Schizosaccharomyces pombe: one gene and its partners. The protein of the gene in region 1 interacts with the protein of each later gene in a pairwise test. Each region holds a gene or a part of one and is shown in the gene's direction. Other genes may lie near its edges.

Evidence for each region. The genes of interacting proteins can lie anywhere in the genome.
Region 2: the proteins of cwf24 (region 1) and SPOM_SPCC1322.09 interact in a two-hybrid assay, tested with the Schizosaccharomyces pombe proteins (one large-scale study listed by BioGRID).
Region 3: the proteins of cwf24 (region 1) and spg4 interact in a two-hybrid assay, tested with the Schizosaccharomyces pombe proteins (one large-scale study listed by BioGRID).

Annotation. Positions count from the first base shown.
Region 1 is NC_003423.3:3,039,533-3,044,067, forward strand, and holds cwf24 (zf-C3HC4 domain-containing and GCN5-like protein cwf24), read left to right. Parts: upstream 1-1,928; 5' UTR 1,929-2,269; coding exon 2,270-3,871; 3' UTR 3,872-3,992; downstream 3,993-4,535. Other genes in the region: vts1 (RNA hairpin-binding protein), read right to left, coding at 4,093-4,535. UniProt on the Schizosaccharomyces pombe protein: Involved in mRNA splicing.
Region 2 is NC_003421.2:1,304,603-1,308,456, forward strand, and holds SPOM_SPCC1322.09 (uncharacterized protein), read left to right. Parts: upstream 1-1,554; 5' UTR 1,555-1,591; coding exon 1,592-2,135; exon of another isoform or gene 2,136-2,193; coding exon 2,194-2,372; intron 2,373-2,526; coding exon 2,527-3,171; 3' UTR 3,172-3,295; downstream 3,296-3,854. Other genes in the region: MAPK-activated protein kinase Srk1, read left to right, coding at 1-263. UniProt on the Schizosaccharomyces pombe protein: Involved in telomere capping.
Region 3 is NC_003424.3:3,479,957-3,485,164, forward strand, and holds spg4 (AAA domain-containing protein), read left to right. Parts: upstream 1-1,600; 5' UTR 1,601-1,952; coding exon 1,953-4,178; 3' UTR 4,179-4,649; downstream 4,650-5,208. Other genes in the region: tps1 (alpha,alpha-trehalose-phosphate synthase (UDP-forming)), read left to right, coding at 1-899; hrb1 (RNA-binding and mRNA export factor), read left to right, coding at 4,722-4,742, 4,780-5,109.

The DNA of each region.
Region 1 (4,535 bases):
TCAATTGGTTGGGAAGTATATGACTGTGTACGTCTTACCGAAGACGATACCACAGCTTCTTCTCGAATATTTTTAAAAATAATGTTTCAGGAAATAGTGGAAGCTTTAGGTCTTAAGAGCTTGGTAGAAAGATTACACGATCCTAATTTAGTGCCTTACTTACATGGCTTGTTTCCAGTCGATGAAGCTCGTAACGTTCGTTTCTCTATCAATTACTTTACTTCTATTGGTTTGGGTGCATTAACTGAAGAAATGAGAGAGTACCTCCTTACCATGCCCAAAAGCGAGCCAAAGGAGCAAGATAGCGAAGGTTATAGCTCTGGATCCGAGACAGGATCAACATATAGTTCCTCTTATTCTTCCACATACTCACGTGGGAGATCATATTCTCGGTCAACTCGGTCATACTCGAAAAGCCGTTCTTATTCTCGCTCCCGCAGTGTAACCCCTATCAATAATATAAATCATAAAAAATACATTAGAAAAGATAGAGAATTATCTCCTCGTGGGAGAGAACGGTCATCAAACCGTAACTCTTATTCTGATCTTTCCAGGTCATCATCATTGTCAAGGGGTCGCTCACGCTCTTACACGCCGGAGGGAAGATTAATTGAATCTGAAGATAAGGGTTATCGTTCTCGTTCTTCTTCACCTGCTTCACGTAAGTATCGCTCGCGCCAACGTTATAGACGTTCATACGCTGGTTCTACAAGCAGAGGCAGGTCCTTTTCTCGCTCACCCTCCTACAGAAGAAGGTTGAGTATGTCATGTTCAGTTTCATACTCTAGATCTCCGTCTCCGCTGCACGCCCTATTTCTCGCTCTCCTGCTAGGAATAAAAGATCTTATGACTCTTTATCATACAACCGTCAATATTCACCAAAGGTATCTAGAAAAAGGTCTAATGAATCTAGGTCACCTTCACCTTACACTCTCCGGAAGCAAAAAACATACCACTTGAATAAGAGGAACGAAGACTTTGTTGTGAAGATGGATAAAAAAGGTTCTGAATCACCTGTCATATTGGCACCATGGTTGCGTGAGGTTGATGATGGCGAACTTTATAAAGACAGGAACAGTGAATCAGATAGTGTTCGTAAACAACCAAGGGCTGATTAAGAGTGATTAATGGTTCATCTTCAAAATGCAAATTGTTAAATGTGATGTCTTACTCTTGTCGTTTTTAAAAACCTAACGTTTGGAATTTTATCCATTGAACTTTTGCTTAACTCAAAATAGTTTTGTACCATAATGAATTATAATAAAAGTTGAGACACGCTATGAGTTTGTATAATTTCCTACTAAACTTTATTCGATTTCAATTCTGTAAGCATACGCTATTTGCATTATAGGTCTGAGACCATGATTGTTTGATGTGATATAATTCATAAGCCGTTGAAACAGTACTTAGTAGCTTGTTCATCAATATTGCAGATTGCAAAATAATTAGAGTTGGATGATAAATGATAATGAATTAAACAAGAATGTAAATTAGATCGTCGTAGCAACGGCCTCTTCATGTTAACAATTTCTAGTAAATGGCAATGCTCTATACGTTTAAATTGAAAATAACACCCCCATATCTCAGCCTTTTCTCATAATCTCCATAAAATAAAATAAAAATAAATATGAAAAAATCTCTAGATGTGTTTATGAAGTACCGCTAAGCAATAAATTAAAGGGAACGCTGTGCAAACACGTATTACATTGAAGGCTGTATATATATGTTTAGATTGAAAATATTAGTCATTACTATAGTAATTAAATTATTAAGACTGATTACTGTCACAAAAAGAGAACTATACATTCTTAATAGAACTCAACGTTTGTTTTGTGCCTCGTTATACTATATAATCTTAAAAAGTAAATATAAATACCTATATATTATTAAAAAATATATCTACCTGAATATTACTAAAGCCCAGATTCGGTGGCCACGTATTTAGCTTAGCAGCTTTCTAAAATTTATATATTTGCATTTCACTACAAACTTCTTCTATTTTTGTTGTTTTATTTTATTTATTTAAGGGGACACACGTTTCACAATTTTGAGCAAACAGCAAGCGCTAATATTGATTCTACTAGATATCAGAATTTTTGAAGCACTTGTTTGGGAACTGTTTTAGTGACTATTAATTGTTTAAACTATTATAGTGGTTCTATCTTGGAATTTAAATAGGGTCTCAATTAAAGAAGAATTGACGACGTTTCTATCTTGAATTTGATTTTTCAAGTGTCTTGGTCATTAAATTATCTTTGCCATACATCCAATGGAACAAAAAAATTTAAATATCAATCAGGCTTCAGGTTCAAAAATCAATACCGAATTAGCTGTTCCAATTTTTCAAAGCCGTCGGAGACATCGCCCCAGACAAGGACTGAAGCGTAAAAAAGGATTCAAACGAGATGATGACTCTGGAGGCAGCAGTGAATCATCAAATGAAGATATGCGGGACAATATTCCAATTGTTTCGGGAAGAAAAAAAACCGTTCGCTTAAATCGATTGCAAAGAGAATCCGAGCAATTCGAGAACTCTGCTTTGAAAGATATAAATGTTGAATATCAGTCAAATCTAAGCGCTACTGGTGAGTCCGTTAATACTACAACTGTTTCGGCTATCAACGAAGATACGAGAGAGGTCATTTTAGGTCGACCTTCTCCGAAGTTAGCTAATCAGTCTACTCTTCCTACTGAGTTATTCCAGTCACAAAACGATTACTCTAGATTTTTGCCTAAAAGGAAAGATTTTGAGAAAAAAAGCCAAGTAGGGCCAGTTTTATCTTCCAATGCTTCTACTGTCCGTATGAATACAATTATTGACTACCAACCCGATGTTTGTAAAGATTATAAGCTCACTGGGTATTGCGGTTATGGAGATACTTGTAAATTTTTGCATATGCGAGAGGATTACAAAGCTGGATGGCAACTTGATAGAGAATGGGATTCAGTCCAGGAAAAATACAAAAAAGGAGCTAAATTGGAAGAAGGGATGGTAAAAAATGAGAAAAAAGAGGATATACCTTTCGTCTGTTTAATTTGTAAAAAGGATTACCGAAGTCCTATTGCTACCACTTGTGGTCACCATTTTTGTGAACAGTGTGCCATAACTAGATATCGTAAAACACCGACATGCATCCAGTGTGGTGCAGATACTAAAGGTTTGTTTTCTGTTGACAAAAATTTTGATCGGCTTTTGAAAAATAGAAAATCAAAGAATGACGAGGCGGTCAAGCAAAAGGTTGGTGGTTTCGAAAGTAATAATTCCGCAACTACAGAAGTTTCGGAACGTAAAGATCGTGAAGCTTCATTTCAAGGGTTTGCAGATACGTTGGCAAAACCAAATACATCGGCTCAACAAAAAATGCCTAGTTTAGGTGATAATTCAAATACAATTATTTCAAAGTATTTTATAAGAGAGATTACTGAATCCAATATAGTCCATTTCAAACGCCTCGTTCGTGTCGTTTTAGAGGCTTCTTATAGTGACAAATTCTACCGCCTAGTTCTCAAAAATCCAGATTACGCCCGCATTGCAACATTCGAAGACAAATTCGTTGGAGCCATTAGCAGCCTTGTTGCAGAAGATAATTCACTTTACGTAACAGTCTTATGTGTTCTTGCCCCTTACAGATGTCTGGGAATTGGAAGCTTATTAATTGATCACGTCAAAAAAACTGCCATAAACAATAATATAGACAGAATTTCTCTTCATGTACAAACAACAAACGAATCAGTTATTAAATGGTATACTGCTCATGGATTTAAGATTGTTAAGCAAATCAATGATTTTTACCGAAGGCTAGAAAACAAATCAGCTTTTTATATGGTGTGCCCGTTAAGTGCTCATAATAATATAATTTCAAATCACTAAAATTCACTTATATGTTTATATTACAAAAGCGATGTCAAAGACAGTTTGTAAAATTGGTTTAAGCTTTTAATATTTGATTAGTCCACCTTTTGGCTTAAAATAAACAACAGAAATCCTCAAGCAATGAAAAAAGTATTGTCAAATATAGCGTAAAGATAAGTGTCACTAGATGTGAAACAAAAATATCTAGTTCAGTGTCATTAGTTAATGATAAAAAACTCTCAGTCCATTGATGAACTAGAAACATCCTGTTTAGTTGAATTCGAGCTTATTTCGTTAGACATGCTCCCACTTGGAAGATCCTCCGAGTCAGTATGACCTTTGAAGCTCGTTAAAGACTCCGAACTTTGGTTTTTCGCCGCTTTTAAATTTTCATTCATTTTTTTTGAAGATACTAGCGGTGCAACTTCCTGAAAACTTTTCAACAGTTTACGACGAGCACCCAGTGCCATGATGCCTCGATTTTGCAAATCGAGATCACTTAACGAAACCAAAGCATCCCAATCCGTATCCTTTAAATTATTGGTATACTTGTGTAGGCGCAAACTTCTGAGCCAGCTCGGAATATCTTGCGGAAGCTCATTACCAACATGCTTGTCTGTGTTTTTAGAATGTGAAATCGATTTTCTGGTTTTATTAGATCCCCGTGAGCTTCTACGGTATG
Region 2 (3,854 bases), on another chromosome or scaffold:
GTAACCAAGGAATCATGAATTTTATGGGTGACATGGATGATTTGATGGAGGAGAATGATGATTACGATGATGGTACCAAGAGCGTTGAACATTCGATGAAACGAGTCAACCTGTCAGGTGAAAACGATCCTAGCCTTGCTTCCCGCCAACCTGCTCAATCGCAACAACAATCATCTCAAAGGTCGCGGAATAAGTTCAAAGGTTTCCAACTCAACTTGTCAAAGGCAACTTTGTATAATCGTCGACATCGACAAAAAGTGTAACACAGACGTCTAACTTCGATTACTTTTCTTTTTTATCCAAATCAGTTGCTTTTAAATGCGATTCAGTAATGCTGATTTTTCGACACTACTACTTTGTTGTATTCTTCCTGTTTTGAATGTTTACTATTTATGAGTTATTTACCTTAAAATTTATCTTCAATCTTTTTAAAACTATCCACTCTGTTAATCAATTGACGCTTACTCAGTGACGAATATGTTCTAATAGTTGGGATTTATTCCAATACTTTCAATTTATTGTTACCTTAAATTTTCTTTATGATAGAACCATACGAATTATATGATGCTCAACAACTATTCTTAGGACTGAGATGTTCAAAAAGATGGAAACTAGTTATGCATTCTTTTAATGAAACCGTTGTTTAAATTAAAATTTTCAAGGGGTGAAATTGGAATATGGTTATTTTCAACTTTGCATATGACATGGCTTCCCAAAAGTTTCGATATTGTACTTATTTACGTACTGTGTAACCGCGATCTCTTGATTCTTTTTAGCTTGAAAGAAGAGATTGAAATATTACCAGGCCTGTCTTTTAATGACAAGGACGTTTAATGCTGTTAGATAATACCATTAATGATTTACGCATTTTTTTGTCAGTGTGTGCCAAAAAAAGCCATTTGCTCTTTGTCACGTTGTTTTTAAAGAATCTATCAATGACTGCTAGTCGTTTTGATTTGAGTAGATAGAATTTTGTGCAATATTCGCTTGATCCTGTATATATTCCAATAGTTTAGGCATGAAGGTTCTGTAGTGTTTTGTCGATGATGTTGAAGTGAAATTGATGATAAATAAATGTATTAAATAATGTTCGTTGGACGGCGTGTATTATTTGGCCAAAACGGATAGGAAGTTGCTGACCATTGTTTAAGCTATTGCTTTTTTTAAACAATGTGTAGGTAAGTTACAGCGCACGGATAATAAATATCTGTTGCTTTCTCGTTTCTCGTAAGCATTATGCCTATAAAATTCACGCATCAGTTGCACGATCAAGACCACTGTTGCATAATTGACTCGCAGAATGTCGTTCGATCAATATTGGTGAGAGAATCATAAGAACAAACATGGTACAGTAAACTTTTTATGTTATTTTTTAGATAAACTTTTTTAAAATTCACATACCTTAGTTCACGACTTTACTTTTAAAACGAAATTATTAAATTCTTTCATAATGTAATAATATAATAATAATTGCATAAAATTTTCTTAACGAGGATTTTTACCGTTATATTATAGGAGTCCTTAATGTGGCTTTTTCAGCCTACGAAACTCATCAACTAGACAAGACCGTGTGATATTCCTGCTAAACAGTATGGCAGAGACCAAAGAGCAAACTGATGATGTCGAAACATTAATGGCATCATTGGATCAACTTGGCATGGAAGCAGATCCCACTTCCAAAGAGTTCAACAACGACGACTCCAAAATTGGTGCCCCATCTGAAGTGCAGGACGAAAAAGAACTGCTGGAATTTTTAGATCAGCTTGAGAATGACGAAGAAAAGAATGAGAAAAATCCTATAGAAGAGGCCAACGAGGAAAATGAATCTGTCGCAGCTACCTCGAATGAACGTCAGCAACATGATGCATCAAATCAACCGTCTCAAGCGGCTCAGACAACTATAAATAAAAATACAGAATCCGCTACTCCAAAAACGGTTAACGAAATCAACAAGTCCCAGGAGTTCCAAGAACATGTAGAAACACCCAAACAGAGCAACTGGCTTGGTGGGTTTTGGTCCACTGCGTCCGCTGCTGTTCGATCAGCTGAACAACGAGTTCGCTCCATAAAAGGGTTTGAAGAGAATGCCAACTGGGATATTAACGTGCGTAATATGGTGGACTTGAACAAGCTTGGTAAGTAGAATTTCTCTTTTGGAAGAAAGAGTTCCTTTTGCTAACAAATGTCTTTTAGGAGATTTGAGCAATGGAATAAGGAGTAAGGCCCTTCCCACATTAAGCAATACAATTCACAACGTTCTGAACGTGGTGGCACCTCCTATTCATGATCATGAAGTTTTGCAGGTGACGGTATTTCATGATCTAGCAGGATTTGCACACCTGGACCGTATAGTGTATGAAAGCTTTGAAAAAGTAAGTTGCGTATTTACGTTTACGCTTTGGACATAGCACTAATATTTGTGCTTTCTTTTATGCTGTCACCGATTACTTGGTTTTCAAAAGACAGATAGGTCAATGCATAATCATAATTAAGTTTTATGGGATAATTTTACTGACATGTTACCAGGTGATGTTCCAAGTAGAAGGAGGTGAATTAACGGTGTTATTGGATAAGGAAGCTAAGGTTCGACCCCGAACGAACGATGTCTATGAAGACTTTGGTCTATGTAATGGTTATTTGGAAGCGAAAAAACTTGCAAAAGCCAATTTAGCTGAACCTATTACGGAGGCTAAAAAGATGAACAAAGAAAACAAGCAAGAAAATGTTGGAGCTGGTGATGATGAAGACGCTTCAGAATCTCCTATGGTTCGAGTAACTCACTTACTTCTCGTAATCCAAGCATTTACTATCAAAAATAAAGAAGTTTCGGATGATGAGCAACTATGCTTTCTTATTCACCTTAACGATACTAATCATAACTTGGAGTTTTCTACCACTTCTCAACCTTTGCCGCTTGAATGGCAACGATGGGCTGTGGACCCTCGATACATTAAGCTTTTCGGTTCTAACGCCATATTACCAAATGAATGGGTAACAGAATGGGTGGAACAATCCATTTCTGTTGCAGCAGGTATTGTTGCCCAAATGTATACCTCAAAGCGTATGGCCCTTGGCGATCCTTCTCTTTTCGCTGGTTTACCGGAAGAAGATGTTAACACTGGTTCATCTGAAACTCCAGTTCCATATTATGACGGAGCCATGTATGCCTAATTGATTCAACTTTAATGAATTATGAACTTTTGATGCATTGTTTCGAATTTAAAAAAGGAAATAACAAATGAAACTACTTTCTTTGTGCCACATAATCGTAATAATATTGACGTGCTTTTCAATATGATAGAGCAATGTTAGAGTAGTGAGCGAAGAGACTTAAGCAGTAGCACAGCAACATGTGAATGTTTTTCGATGAGAGTGGGTATATACGCTTTAAAAATATCGGTACAAGAGAATTAAAACATTTACATTAGCTGCTGAAGAGAACACAGCTGTTAGAAACAAAGCAAACTATTTGATGAGATGGAAAGGTGGATTTTCTTCATCTGTTTACACTAGCATTTCATCTATTAGCGCTCTGTAACGTATTCTGTTATTTATTAATTGCAACATATTAGAGTGGGATCATAAGACGAACGTGACGATAAACTTAACGAGCCATTCATTAGGATGCAAAATAATGGGATTTAGCGAGTTTTAATGGGCTATCTTATTTACAAAGAGAAAAAGGGAAAGTAAAAGTATTTATGGACTAAGACATGTGCCCTTTTAGAAAAGTTTTATTTGAGTGCTAGCACACCTGTTGATGATGAATAAGACCAATTAAGTATCCGCCTCATTATCGCTTGTCTTTTACAGCTAGCTCATTTACGAAACTAGGTGGAAACAGGTAACTTCGT
Region 3 (5,208 bases), on another chromosome or scaffold:
GCTTCCATACCTACGACTATGCCCGTCACTTTTTGTCTGCATGCTCTCGTATCCTTAATCTTAGCACACTACCTAACGGTGTGGAATACAATGGTCAAATGGTCAGCGTCGGCACCTTCCCCATCGGTATTGATCCCGAAAAGTTCTCTGATGCTCTGAAGTCTGACGTGGTAAAGGATCGCATTGCAAGCATCGAACGTAGACTACAAGGCGTTAAGGTGATTGTGGGTGTCGATCGTTTGGACTACATTAAGGGTGTTCCCCAAAAATTCCATGCCTTTGAAGTGTTCTTAGAACAATACCCTGAATGGGTTGGAAAGGTCGTGTTGGTTCAAGTTGCCGTTCCTTCTCGTCAAGATGTCGAAGAGTATCAGAATCTTAGAGCCGTTGTCAATGAGCTTGTTGGCCGTATTAACGGTCGTTTTGGTACTGTTGAATATACACCTATTCATTTCTTACATAAAAGTGTTCGCTTTGAAGAGCTGGTTGCTCTGTATAACGTTTCAGACGTTTGTTTAATTACCTCAACTCGTGATGGTATGAATCTTGTTTCATACGAGTACATTTGCACTCAACAAGAGAGACATGGTGCCCTAATTCTTAGTGAATTTGCCGGTGCTGCCCAGTCACTCAATGGTAGTATTGTAATTAATCCATGGAACACGGAGGAATTAGCAAACTCCATTCATGATGCCCTCACTATGCCGGAGAAACAACGTGAGGCTAATGAGAATAAATTATTCCGATATGTTAATAAGTATACCAGTCAATTCTGGGGTCAAAGCTTTGTCGGTGAGTTGCAACGCATTCAACACTACAGCCACCCTCACCCCAGAAGAACGAATCCGATTTTACGAACCAAGTCTGCTCAAGTGCTGTCGATGAATTCTAGCTCGTAAGAGTGCATTAGCAACACTATTGGTTTGTTTTCCCATTAATCAAGTTGTTGCACTTTTACACTTTTACTTCTATAATTTCATTCTCAAAGCAATTAAATCATTTGGTCATATATATTCGATGAGTTAGCAGTTTACGATACAAAGGATGTTGTTTATACTGGCACTTTTTTTATTGAGATGAATTCACAATACATGATATAATGCAACGTTCTTTAATGATTTTTTTATATGCAGAAATTCCAATCAGCTTATGGTGGTTTGAGTATTTGCTGATGATGGAAATTTGTTAGACAAGTATTCGACAATTTTTTTATGAAGTGTTGTTCTTTGTAATTTCCTTTGGTTTTATATTGAACATGATGGCAAAAAGAATAAATGTTTTGTTATTTAACCTTAAAAATCCTGTAACATTCAATTAATATTATTTTTATACATTTTTTTTGGGATACACGTGGAAGATTGTGACTAATATATCTTATAAGTAAGGATGAGAATATGCTGGACTGGTGAACGGAGTTGGACCAAGCAAATATTAAGATTAATAGTGAAATGGTTTTAAAGGTATTATTTATTGTAAGTAAACTAATTTTCAATTCTCATATAGCAAAAAGAGTTTTTTTGTGTAAATGATGAAGATGCGTCATTTACCCATCATTATTCTTCGCTACACCAAAACCAACCGTAAAGATTTAAAACTCAACAAGCACAGTGCGTATATCATAGAACTTCTATTCACGCATATAATTAGTGCTGTTGCTAGTTTTGTATTTATTTTTGTAGACTTTATCAAGTTTTCCGACAAAATCGTGGTTTTAGTGAGAAATTTTATCTTTAACTTTGTATCACTATATCTACGATTTGTATTTGCATGCCGCATTCTGCTTGTACGAAAACAATATTTAATAAGGTAATAGGATATAAAAGGAGAAGTGTAGTTTGTGCACTTCAGCCAATATAGAAAGAGAATAACGTTTCCAATCGAGCCGATTTAACCTCTTTCCATTGAAAGGTAATTGTTTTTAATCAGTTGTAGACGTTAAAGAATGCACAAAAATGAGCCTTGAAGACTGCTATAACGTCACACAGTCATATGCCGCCGTTGCAATTCATAAAGAGCAGACTGCTGACTATGTGGAGGCTATCGCTTTATTTCAAAAGGCCAAGCGGAACATTCTCATGAATCCAGAGTTTAAGTATGCGAGGGAACGCTTACACGTGATGGATTATGAAGATAGACATTATGTGGAAACATTACTCTGCATGTTGGAGCAGTTGACCATTCGAATTGAGTTCCTTACCAAAGAGATTGCGCAACAAGAAGCTGCTTATAAGGATATTCAAAATACACAAAAGTCACTTGTAACACAATCTTCTACTGGTAGCGCTAATGTTGCTTATATAAGTGGAAATGGTCCTGGCGATCGCTCATTTATCGATGATGGTAACTATAGTGCGTCTTCTTTTGAGCGTCAAAATAGAACAGCTCCTTTACAATCTAAAGTGACAACGGCATCCTTAAAACCTAATATTCCGCGAACATCTATGTCCTCTTCACCTACAGCTTCGCGGACTTCGTTGCGTAAAGGCGCTGGTGAACTAGAAACACATAGCGCTGTTAAATCTGCTAAAAAGGCCAGTGTCAAGAGTAAATCAGTGCTTCCTCCAAGTAAATCGCTTGCTAGGACTGGACTTCCAGCTGAAGTCTCTACCCAGAACAATGCCAATCGAGCAGCTCTATTGGCTTGGGGATCTTTGAATTCATCTAAGCCTAAGCATGCTCTCCCGCCATCATACATATCATCGGAAGCAGCGCAGGCATCTCGATCATCGTTTCAGGTTGAGCGTCATCGTCCAACTCCCGATAACTCCGCCGTTATTGAAGCTGCCCGCCGAACTTACTCTTCTATTTCCTCCTCTTCCTCACCCTTCAAAAAGAAAACGCAATCCCATCTCCCTAATCGTACCACTGAAGTACCTTCTATATCAAAACAGTTATCAAAGTCATCTACCTCAATCGCAACCGTCGCGCCATCTCTCGCTTCTGTTTCGTCAGTTACAAAATCGCCATCTCCCACTCCTCAGTCAGCTCCACGAGCTCAATCTGCTTCCACTGAAACTGCGCAAGATCTGGATTTCCTTACACCGCCACGTTTATCTGTGAACAACCCTTTTCTGAGTGATCTCTATCCAGCTTCCGAACAGGGGCTTTCTTCCTGTGAAGAGAAAGATTCGCCGGTTGATGGCGATGAATTTTTCAACCACACAAACGAAGAAGAGATTATTGAAAAGCAGTTTCAATCCACATCTATCTCTGCAATGACTTCTGAAAAGCAAGAACAAATTCTGCGTGAATGTCCAGACATCGACGAAGAGCTTGGTAAGAGTATACTTCGAGAAATCGTGGTTTCGGGTGATGAAGTTCATTGGGATGATATTTCTGGGTTAGAATTTGCTAAGCACTCTTTAAAAGAGGCAGTGGTGTATCCGTTCTTGCGTCCAGATTTGTTCCAAGGCTTGCGGGAACCAGCTAGGGGGATGCTTCTTTTTGGGCCTCCAGGAACTGGTAAGACAATGCTTGCGCGAGCTGTTGCTACTGAATCCCGTTCTGTCTTTTTTTCTATTTCAGCTTCTAGTTTAACATCCAAGTTTTTGGGTGAATCCGAAAAACTTGTTCGTGCTCTCTTCACTTTAGCAAAAAAGCTGTCTCCAAGCATCATTTTTGTTGACGAAATTGATTCACTGCTTTCTGCTAGAAGCAGTGATGGAAATGAGCATGAAACATCGAGAAGAATAAAAACAGAATTCTTAATTCAGTGGTCTTCGCTTGCAAGAGCAGCTGCATCTCGACAAACCGCCGATCACCCAAGAGTTCTAGTGCTTGCCGCTACCAATTTGCCTTGGTGTATCGACGATGCTGCTCGTAGACGATTTGTCCGTCGTACCTACATTCCCCTCCCTGATGAGACCACTCGTCGCTTACATTTAAATAACCTTTTAAAATATCAGAAGCATTCTCTTTCCTTAGAGGATATTGAGGCTATTGTGAAAGCAACCGAATATTACTCTGGCTCTGATTTGACAGCATTGGCAAAAGACGCAGCTATGGGGCCTTTGCGAAGTTTAGGTGAGTCTTTGCTATTCACGAAAATGGAGTCGATTAGGCCGATTAATTTAGATGACTTTAAAACTAGTATCAAGGTAATCCGGCCTAGTGTGAACTTGCAAGGGCTGGAACGATATTCAGAATGGGACAAAGAGTTCGGATCCCAAGGGCATTGAGTCTGTCTTCTTATTTAAAATTCCTAGCCTGATACCGATTTTTTTGGTAATCACGTTGAAAATTTATTTATTGTCTTTTAATACATGGCTTGTGCAAACTTATGATTATAACTAATAAGGACAACTTTTGCCTCAAGGAATTATTCATGATGATAATAATGGTGCTGTACCAAAAGCCTTTTTGTTTACTCCTAATATATTCGTTTGTCTCTTTTTTGTTGATACAATTTATGCACAGTCTTTGAATTTTTCAAACACTTAATATTAACTGAGGTTATCTCTAACCCTAGTTATTGTTTGAGTTTCCATTTTTATTACGACTCATTTACAAACAACTAAAACTCCTTACTATGATTAATTAGTCAGTACATGTCAATATTTATAATTTAAATGTTTACAGTTTTTTTATTCTATTGTTCTTTTAGCGAATCTAAGAGTTTACAGTATATCACTTACGAAATTATATTGCAGTTACACTATAGAAGTCAAGTTGTTGGGATGCTTTAATTATGTGAAGATGCACACTCAGCTTATGCTCTTGCGATGCCTAAACCTATAGAATGGGTATGATAACTATTGATTGATTTAGCTGATCAAATAGAATGAATTTGATTCAGGAATGGGTAGTAAGTTGGATGTGTCAAGTTCCTTGAATTCATCGTCTTCCAATATGGATCGTGACAGATCGGAGTCTCCGAAGCGACATGTCAACGGAAGCAATTCATTGAAACGTGGCTTGCATTTTGATGGAGAGCACACTGAAAGAGACCCTCACTTGGGAAATGGCCAAAAGTACACTCAACAAGAGCGTCGCGTGTATGTTGGTAATTTGTCATATCAAGTTCGTTGGTTTGAGTTGAAAGAGTTTATGGGACAAGTTGGCAATGTTCTTAATTGTGAGATTTTGAATCTTCCGAATGGATTATCGAAGGTAAGTTTGCTTCATAGAGGGTGGGTTTCATGCGACTAGTAAATCATTGTCTATTTAAATTGTAACGTTGAATCGATCCAATTGAACGTTACTTTTAAA